2 linked regions of the Tribolium castaneum genome follow. The protein of the gene in region 1 purifies or fractionates together with the protein of each later gene. This does not show direct contact. Links are inferred from orthologs where the notes say so. Each region holds a gene or a part of one and is shown on either strand. Other genes may lie near its edges.

Region 1 (4,535 bases):
CGCCATGTTGGGCAACATGGAACTCTTCTCCAAATCGCGTAAAATTGCACAGCCTTCATAGTAAATCTCTAATATCGATTGATTGCTCAATAAAATATGAAAATATCTGAATGGGGACAAAGTTAGTAAAAATCGGGGAAACCCCAACTGACCTTTCCAGAGAACGCTCGTTCAGCGCCGCCCTGATCCACGCACGCCCGCGGCCCGTGTCAGTCCAGATATGTTTCAAAACGGCGTATCTCTCCTGCTCATGCTTCGTTAAATGCGTCCTAACAAACGGCCAAAACGCTTCAAAAAAAAAAAATCAGTTGGCAACACGTACTAACATACGGAGAGCTTAAGAGACGAAACGAGATACAAAAAAACAGTACGGCAGAGTAAAAATAAATTTTTGGACATTTTCGACCAAATTTTGTGATTTTTTCACTTGTATGTCGTTTCACATCCTAGCCAGTCACTTACAAGGGTTCTCGCCCCCTAGATGCAGACTGCTCGCCACTTGCTTCAAAGCGGAGCCTTGGGGGTTTACCCGGATTCCGTGCAGCAAAACGGCCTCGAGCGTCAAGCACAGGGCCACAACACAGCTATCAAACTCAGTCGCTAGTTCGGTTTTTCCCCCATATCGTTTTTGGCACTCTTGCACGCACTCGAGTAACTGTCGTAGGAGTTTATCAGCGGTTTCGGATTTCGGTTGATTTGCGATATTTGGCGAAATTACAGCCGACATGAGCTTCAGGGACTGAAATTTCAAGGTTTTAGGGCAATTTCAAGCAACAAAAACTCACCATAATTATAACCTTGGCCGGTCATGGCATGGGTGAATCTGACTCGAGGTGGCATAACATTGCGATAAGATGGGTTGCAGTGGGGCCCTTATCGCCAGAAACGTGATATCACAGGATTTTCGATTAAAAACACAAAACAGACACTACTGGTACAATCAGCTGATTGGGAAGTGTCAAACTGGGCTAATGTCAGCGAGTTAATTTGGCCAAAATTGGGCTGTTTTGGCTGGAAACGACTGATTTGGGGCGATTTTAGCCGAATTTTGGTTGTTTTAGACGAATTTAAGCAAAATTATGATTCTGGTTATGGGTGACATCATTCGGTCGGGTGCGGTTTCGGTAATCACTCTTGCTAATAATTATTGTCATTTTTATTATATTCACTATTTTAAATTAAACAAGAGGACGAGAAGTTGGTACAAAAAGTTCCACGGGTGTGTTGCGATATAACACTGCCAGGGTAGATTAATAAAAAATTTTGATTTAGGGGTGTTCGAATGGTCCGAAAGTGCTTCGTTCCGAATCATAGGCTGATCTATGAATTTCCGAAATTTGATAATTCACTTAATTGTTACATTGCAGTTGATTGCTATTTGTGATTATGATTAGATTTAATTGTTTATGTTTTTATGCGCCTGTTCTTATTATTTTTTCCTCAGACGTTTTGTCGAAAGTCTTTTAAATAGAAGTGTTAACAATTTTTAATAAAGCAGTTTTTCCCTAACTTTAATAAACGACTATTACTTAACGAGTGGTTAGAAAAGGGGTTTTACAAAAAATTTAAACCACTGTGTGGGGATTGGGGAAGTTCATTTCCTACGGATTGCTTGGCACCACTGCGCTAAGATGGCCGACAGTTCGATGTAGGAGGAGTTGTCATTGTTGCAAAGAACCCGCAATTTTTTATACAAATGTATCATTTATAGTTTTACTTAGTTTGTAATTAATTTATTAATTTGTGCTGTGAGTGATTAAAGTGCTTTACGATGTCGGGCGATCGGGAAATTCCAGCTGAAGACAGTATTAAAGTCGTGTGTAGGTTTCGACCCCTCAATGATTCAGAGGAGAAGGCTGGGTCGAAATTCATCGTGAAATTCCCTTCAGGAGGCGAAGATAATTGTATTTCGATAGCGGTGAGTGGAAAAACGGCCAAAACTCGCATTTTTTATCAGTGGCTTACGTCATTTCGGTTGCGCTCCACCGAGTCCACGCTAATTAGACCCCGTTTCCACCAAAAAAATCATCCCTGAGACATGAAAATCGATTCTTTGCACCGGCCATTGTCTCGAAAAATCGATTTCCGATCGACTCACCCATGCTCTCATTTTACTTTACAACAGTTGGAGAAATTAATTGGTACGGATCGCTACCATGGACCATTAAGACGTAAATTTTAACGATGGTCACAATGGGTGAACATGGTACGGGTCAGCGCATTTATTATTCTTCAAAAAAAAAAGAAAAAAAAACAATTGAAATCTGTCAATTAGAATGTCAAATGTCAAGTTTCCGCAGGAAAAATTGGACTATTGATTTTTATCACTTTATCTCTGCCGGAACGTTTAGCTAATGGAATATTTTATTGTTTAAGTGCTTCATAAAATAATAAAAATCTCGTTTTTTTGTTTAATTAAATCGCCCCCCCCCCTTTATTTGTTGTTTGTTTTGTCTGATAACTAGTTGTCAAATGAATTAAAAAGGCAAATTTTTGGTTTATTTGCTCTATAAATGCGGTTCTCGTGCATTATCCCACTTTTTACGATAACAAAGTTTAATCGGCCAATATTTGTTTTTAGTCACTGTTTTGTCTCAACAATTTTGAAACTAAAAACTAATTTACCAAGTTTGTGAACCTGCATGTCAACGTGACATTTGTCAAAATTTGATTTACTTTATTCATGACATAACTTCATCGATGATCATTTTTATCGTCAACACTCTGTATAGCAAAATTATCTAAATACAACATCAAACAATCAAGTGGTTCTTCTTTTTTTGACGTGAAAAAATTCACGTTTTTAATACTGATTATTATACGTTTTTTATTTCTTGTTGCTTTTGTAGGCTTAATAATAAATTGGTTTTAATTTTTTTATCTCGTTTTTTCTGAAATAAGTTAATAAAAAACTGCAAAAAATAAATGAATGCAACACGGAAATAATAGTATTTTTTTATTCGCGTGTACGTGACAGTTTTGCTGTCAGAATAGAATTGACAGTAATTTGATAAAAGAATCAAATAAGTTCTCTATTTCTTTGTTGCATTATCGTAATTTGTTTTTATTACAATAATCAACGCCTAATTGCCCTATAATCAGGCGAGATTAACACGGAAGCAGAGCAAAAACTGCGAATTCTAGAACACTCTCAGACAACAAAGTCGTCATTTTTGCGTATGTTTTGGCTGAGATTATCTCAGATTGTGTGTTTGTTGGGTAAAGGTTAATTAATTTCGTTAAAAAACATCGGATCGATCAAGGATAAGTCGAGAGAAGGAAATAATCCATGAGGGTGCACACGTTCACACTTTTGTTTCTGCTTGGTTTATTATTCGGATGTGCAAGAAAGCTAGAAATGCGTTCGTTCTGTGGGCGAAGAAAGCGCTAATTCGTTCGGGTGATTAATTTTGCATTGTGTTCGACTTTCCATCGTTTTAAGATTAAAAAAATTAGAGGCGTATTGCTGTAGGATTCGGTCGCGTGTTTGGTGGAAGTAGGTAGTGTTATTTTCACTATTCTATTCACAACCTACGACCAAAAGTAACCAATCGATAGTTCTTACAGAGCGTTGAACCTTTTTCTGTGATGTAATTATCTTCAAAGGGGAGGGGAAATTATTATTTCAATATTTAATAAGATAATGAGAACGTATTTTTGTCAAGCTTTTTACCTAAAGTGATCGATTAATTGTTTTGCCGTTGCTTTCGATTAACGCTGGATTGATTGCTTCGTTTTCGCGTTGTTTTTTTTTAATTTTTCAGACTTTGTTTACATTCTCTCTTTTGCGGAGTGTTCCGTTTTCTTCACAATCAATAATCAGGCTCTGCCCTTGACCGAGCGTTCGTTCTATTTAGGTCCTCTCTTCTGTTTTGCAACATTGTACACAAATCCAGGACGCGTTTTATGAATTATTTAAAAGAAATCAAATTTCAAGCTCTGATAAAAGCAATTACACCGTTGTTTTATAAATAGATGTACGGAACGATCGTATCAAAAAATCAATGTGTTGTAACTTTAAAAAATTATTTAATCTCGTTTTGCAAAGTCACGATTCTGATATTTAAGTTACAATTGCTACTGTCTGTTTTTAATCTTGCATATCTCGAAGTCTCGCCTGGTTAAGTTAATTATAAATGAGATGAATCAGGAAATAACTGTCGGTTTTATTTGTTTATTTTCGTAGAAAATTGGTCGTGACGCGTTAGAAAGTGATGTCAGGTATTAAAATAGTTTGCGATGATTTTCTGATAATAGTTTTTATGTCAATTGATAAAAACCAAGATATTTTACGATTTTTTTGCAGTTCTGGACAAATTTTGAATTTTTTCGAAAAAAAAATTTAACTTTTTAGTTTATGATCATAAGTAAAACACACTAAATGGAAAGTATAAGGTGAGTCACTGTTTTCTCTTATTAAATTTTCTAGATTTTTAGTACCTGTCACATTTATTTATAATTTAATATTCAATGCTAATAAAAAATATCCCTGTATTAAATTAAATATCGGTCAAAAGAAAAAATGCTGTGTTTTT
Region 2 (4,379 bases), on another chromosome or scaffold:
CAAAAATAGGTACATAGTAGGAACATAGCCTTTATTTTGATCATTATATGCAATTCAAGTTAGTTTCATTTGTATCCTTGTCATGTCTCACATTACCCCACTTTGCAGAATCGGACGAATAAGCAACTTTTGTATACACATTCCAGGACGAACTTATAACAAAAAGTGTCTGTGGTTTTATTTTTTAAATGTTATTTATGCATCAATAACTTTTTTTTTTATTTCAATTGAAATAAATAGGCAACCAATAATACAGAATCAATAACGCAAATTGCATAACATAACACCTAATAATGGTTCATTGGCCGATTTATCCACAAATATCTGTCTTGAGGAATTCACTGATAAACAATGTCAGAAAAAATAAAGTAAATGTTTAAAAAAATCAAGTTTTAAGACGCAAGCAATATTTATCTCAACTGGTCCAGTGTTGATGCTGTACTGATGCGCACCGGAATCACACGCATCTTTGATATAGAGATGAGTACAACAGTTACATAAATCGCATATTTTATAAAAAGATTAATAACGGGACCACGAAGAGACAGTAACCCCGGTTTCGGACCAAATCATCCAAATAACTACTCACTTTTTTTGCAACTTTCTTATAATTTCATTTGAATATTTAAAAGCAAATTAGTCGGATCGGAAATTATCCAACTTTCAAATGTCAATAATCTGAGAGGGAACAATGAAAGCATAAAAATCTTTCTAGAAACTTTATTATCTTTTGTTAATGAAATATGTAATAATTCAGAGTTTATTGTTGTCAGGCGATTTCGATTAGATTAGTGCGCACTATTTCAATTTTTTTAACTATTGTCGCGGTTTACTTACACCTTATCAGTGTATTGAGCGAAAATTCCCTCTGATTCAATTTAAAATACAGTGAAACCTCTACAATGCGACCATGCTGTTTTATTCGAACCTTTTAGAAATCTTATCATTTTTTTTTCTATAGGAACACTAAGAATAATTAAGAAATTTTACAAAAAAAAATACGTTTTTAAAAAAAATTGATTTTTGTTTATAATTTCTTATATGAAGTTGAAACTGTATGTTTTTTTCAGTTTCGATATTGCAAACAATCGTTTTCTAGACCCTTTGCAATATTAGTTCGAATTTAAAAAATAGCAAAATAGTGAAAATTTCCTACAAACCAACTTAAAATATAGTGAAACCTCTACCATCCGACCAAGCTGTCGGATGCTGTTTTATTCGAAGCTTTTGCAAGTTTTATTTTCTTTCTATAGAGAAGCTAAGAATAATTGAGGATACAAAAACAAAAAAAAATATTCAAAAAAAAGTTGAATTTTGTTTATTATTTTTTATATAAAGTTACAACATTCTTTTCACACAAACGCTCAGAATATATTTTCAGTTGTTTACACATTTTAATTTCCAAACTGTAATACGTAATGTAAACAATCGACGTCTAGAGCCCCTTGCAATAAATATGTGTTCGAGTTCTCGTGGTTTTACTGTATCACGACCCGCGCCCATCTCTGCTCGAGCTTCGACAGCGGCGTCGTGGGTTTCCCGCAGTGTTGTGCAGGCTGTGAGTGTGGAGTGGTGTTTCGCGATGCGGGATTTGGCCACAAAAATGGCCGAACTAAAATTTGAAGCACCACTGGCCCAATTCGAGGAATCGGATGAATGGGGTTCGACCGAGTTTCAAAACGCCACCATAAAAAACGAGAACGAACTGAACAACATCAACCTGAACAAAAAAATCAAAGACATCAACGACGTCCTGAACGATTTCAATGAGGACATCCTCAACAATTCAAACACCGAAACCTTGCCGCCAAAAAACGTGATTTTGAAAAACGGTGAAACGGCCTCGGTGGCCGACAACTTCACCGAAACTTTCTCGGGCTCGCTTGAGGACCTCGTTAACACGTTCGATGAAAAAATCACCAAGTGCTTCGGCAACTACGAGGAGTCGGTGGAGAAGTTGGCCCCCGTCCAGGTCCGGACGCAGGAGGAGATCATGAACGAATGCCAGTAAGTGCGTTTTTTCACCAAGGTATTACCCGAATGATTTATGGTGATTTTTGAGTACCTATAACTGTATGTTTACTTTGGATTTTACTGTTAACACGCGGTTAATAGACAAGGGTTTAATTGCACCAGGGAGTTATTTAAAGACTGGAAAACGCGGTTGGAATCCGTCAAGGTGTTCCGAAATAACACCGCATTTTCCCCACAATTGATTTAGTCGAAAAAATGAATCATCCGGTGTTATCTGCGCGCTACTTGGATCAAAATAAACGTGATGCTCCATATTCCAGACAAATGAGAATATGTCACTTTTAGCATTGAAATGAAGCTAAATGGAGTCGTAGGAGTCGGTAAAATGACTCACTTTCGACCCACAATTCACAAAAAATGTTCCCAAGCTGATGAACATATGAGGAAGTCATTTCTTGACAATATTGTCAAAACAAAGCTACGTTTGTCCAACTTATCGGAACGCCCCCATGTCCAGCAAGGACAACATCTGATTAAGAAAATCAATCAAATAACATGTCCACAATATTTTGGTAAAATTGGCAACAAACTCAGTCAATCTACGCGTGCGTACTATCAAGGGATGAAAATCAATACAAGTCAGGGTGGTGTGTTGCACCCTTTCATCCCTCGAACGTAATGTCAAAATGTCCACTTTAGGAATGCTTGAGAATGAACGCCGGAAAATCGCTTATTTAAGGACTGGAAAATCAGTCCCTGGTTTGAGTCACCGACGCCGCGGCGTCGCGACGTCCCTGACTTAAACCCACCGGTCAATAATACCACATGAAAACAAAGCGTTTGGTCACTTCATTCGTACTCAGTTTTGCACATTTCCGTTAATTGAGCAAGAGTTTCCGCTTTAGAAAAATTGCTATTCTCCGTTTGCGTTTGCATGAAATTACTGCTGTGATTCACCAATGCGGGGGTACATTTGTAAAAAGTCATTAGCATGAGAAAGGGCCCCACAGTTGGGTCACTGTGACCAATTTGTGCAGGAAGCTCTAATATAAAGCTCGTGACGTCAAAAGCGAGACAGGCACCGAGGACACCGATGCGCAAACTTCATTTAGGACAAGTTACAAGACCCAAGTATGTATGTCAACGAAACATCGGGTAATTACGTGGAAAATGCCTCGAAAGGGTGAAGTTGTAGCGAGCGAAAAGCCAATTTTCTGGGTTTATGTCGCATAAAGAACAAAGTTCGATTAAATGCCGCTTAAAAATGTCTCAGGTCTCAGCTCTTTCAATCTTCAATCAAGCTTTCGTTATCTTGTCTCGCCAGAAAAATTGAAATGTTGTTTTTATTATAATGGTATAAACAGTTATTGCAAAAGATATAAATAATATAAAAAAATTGAAGTATGTCTTTAAAACACGAGCAATTTTTCGAGCACGACGGCGTACCCGGAGTGCTCGAAATAGTGCAAGTGTTTTAAAGACCAGTTATCCAGGTATACTTTACGTTATTTTGTTTATTGGTACACTTTAAAATCATAAATACTGATATTATTATTACAAAAATTGGAAATATTATAATGTGAGGTCAGTATACAAATGGAAACATACTAAAGAACGCAAGATGTTTAAAAAAGAATTTTTAAAACTGCTTCATGACAACGGATTTTATTCCGTTGACGAATTTTTATGTTCACTGTCATAATTTTTGTTATTTTCTTTGTGTTAATTTTTTCACCTTGTCTAATAAATAATAATAATAATATTACGAGTATTATCTGAAAATACAAATTTCCACCCAGAACGCATCAGCACGTCAATAAACCTAATTAAGCAGTTTGAAGTGGCACTTTCTAAAGAAATTCGAGCAGTGCAGCTACGAATTTCAATTAATCGTCACCGCCTGTGAAACCTGCCTCTCGGGAAAAATTTCACTCCAACAATGTTATGTTTACGAAAAATTGCGTTTGTTGTCAGTCTGAATAAATGTTGTACTTGCATATTTGATGAGGTGCCTTAAAACAACGTCGGAAACGTTTGGTTCATTTAACTTTCTTATCTGTTTGCGTTTGCTTTTGCCTTCTTTGAAAACTTGAGAAATATAGGTAAATAAGTGCTCGTAAATTAATCGGCAATTTTTTTTGACAGTCTGGGGTAATAAAACGTTTCGTGTAACAATCGCCCACAACATCACCCACAAGAAATTTGTCAAATTCGAGCGATTTTCTGCACAGACCGAGCTGATTTATCGCCGCTGCCAATAAACCAGATGGCATCGCTTCGTGTAAGACAAAATTTGAGAATAAAACGGTAAAGTCTAGCCGTGGACTGAAAGTTACAGCTTCCCTGACCTACAAACAGATCTTTCAGACCTGGATTGTTCAGATCGTTTGACATAATCCGTGTTT

What was found.
Region 2: the proteins of Khc (region 1) and Unc-76 purify together in Drosophila melanogaster (affinity purification with western blotting; 3 studies listed by BioGRID). This does not show direct contact. The link is inferred for Tribolium castaneum from reciprocal best matches to the Drosophila melanogaster genes Khc and Unc-76.

Annotation. Positions count from the first base shown.
Region 1 is NC_087395.1:25,842,117-25,846,651, forward strand, and holds the start of Khc (kinesin heavy chain), read left to right. Parts: upstream 1-1,607; 5' UTR 1,608-1,771; coding exon 1,772-1,918; intron 1,919-4,535. Other genes in the region: sorting nexin-29, read right to left, coding at 1-106, 153-288, 463-739, 786-788. UniProt on the Drosophila melanogaster protein: Kinesin is a microtubule-associated force-producing protein that may play a role in organelle transport. Milt and Miro form an essential protein complex that links Khc to mitochondria for light chain-independent, anterograde transport of mitochondria.
Region 2 is NC_087402.1:6,757,826-6,762,204, reverse strand, and holds the start of Unc-76 (fasciculation and elongation protein zeta-2), read left to right. Parts: upstream 1-1,527; 5' UTR 1,528-1,582; coding exon 1,583-2,007; intron 2,008-4,379.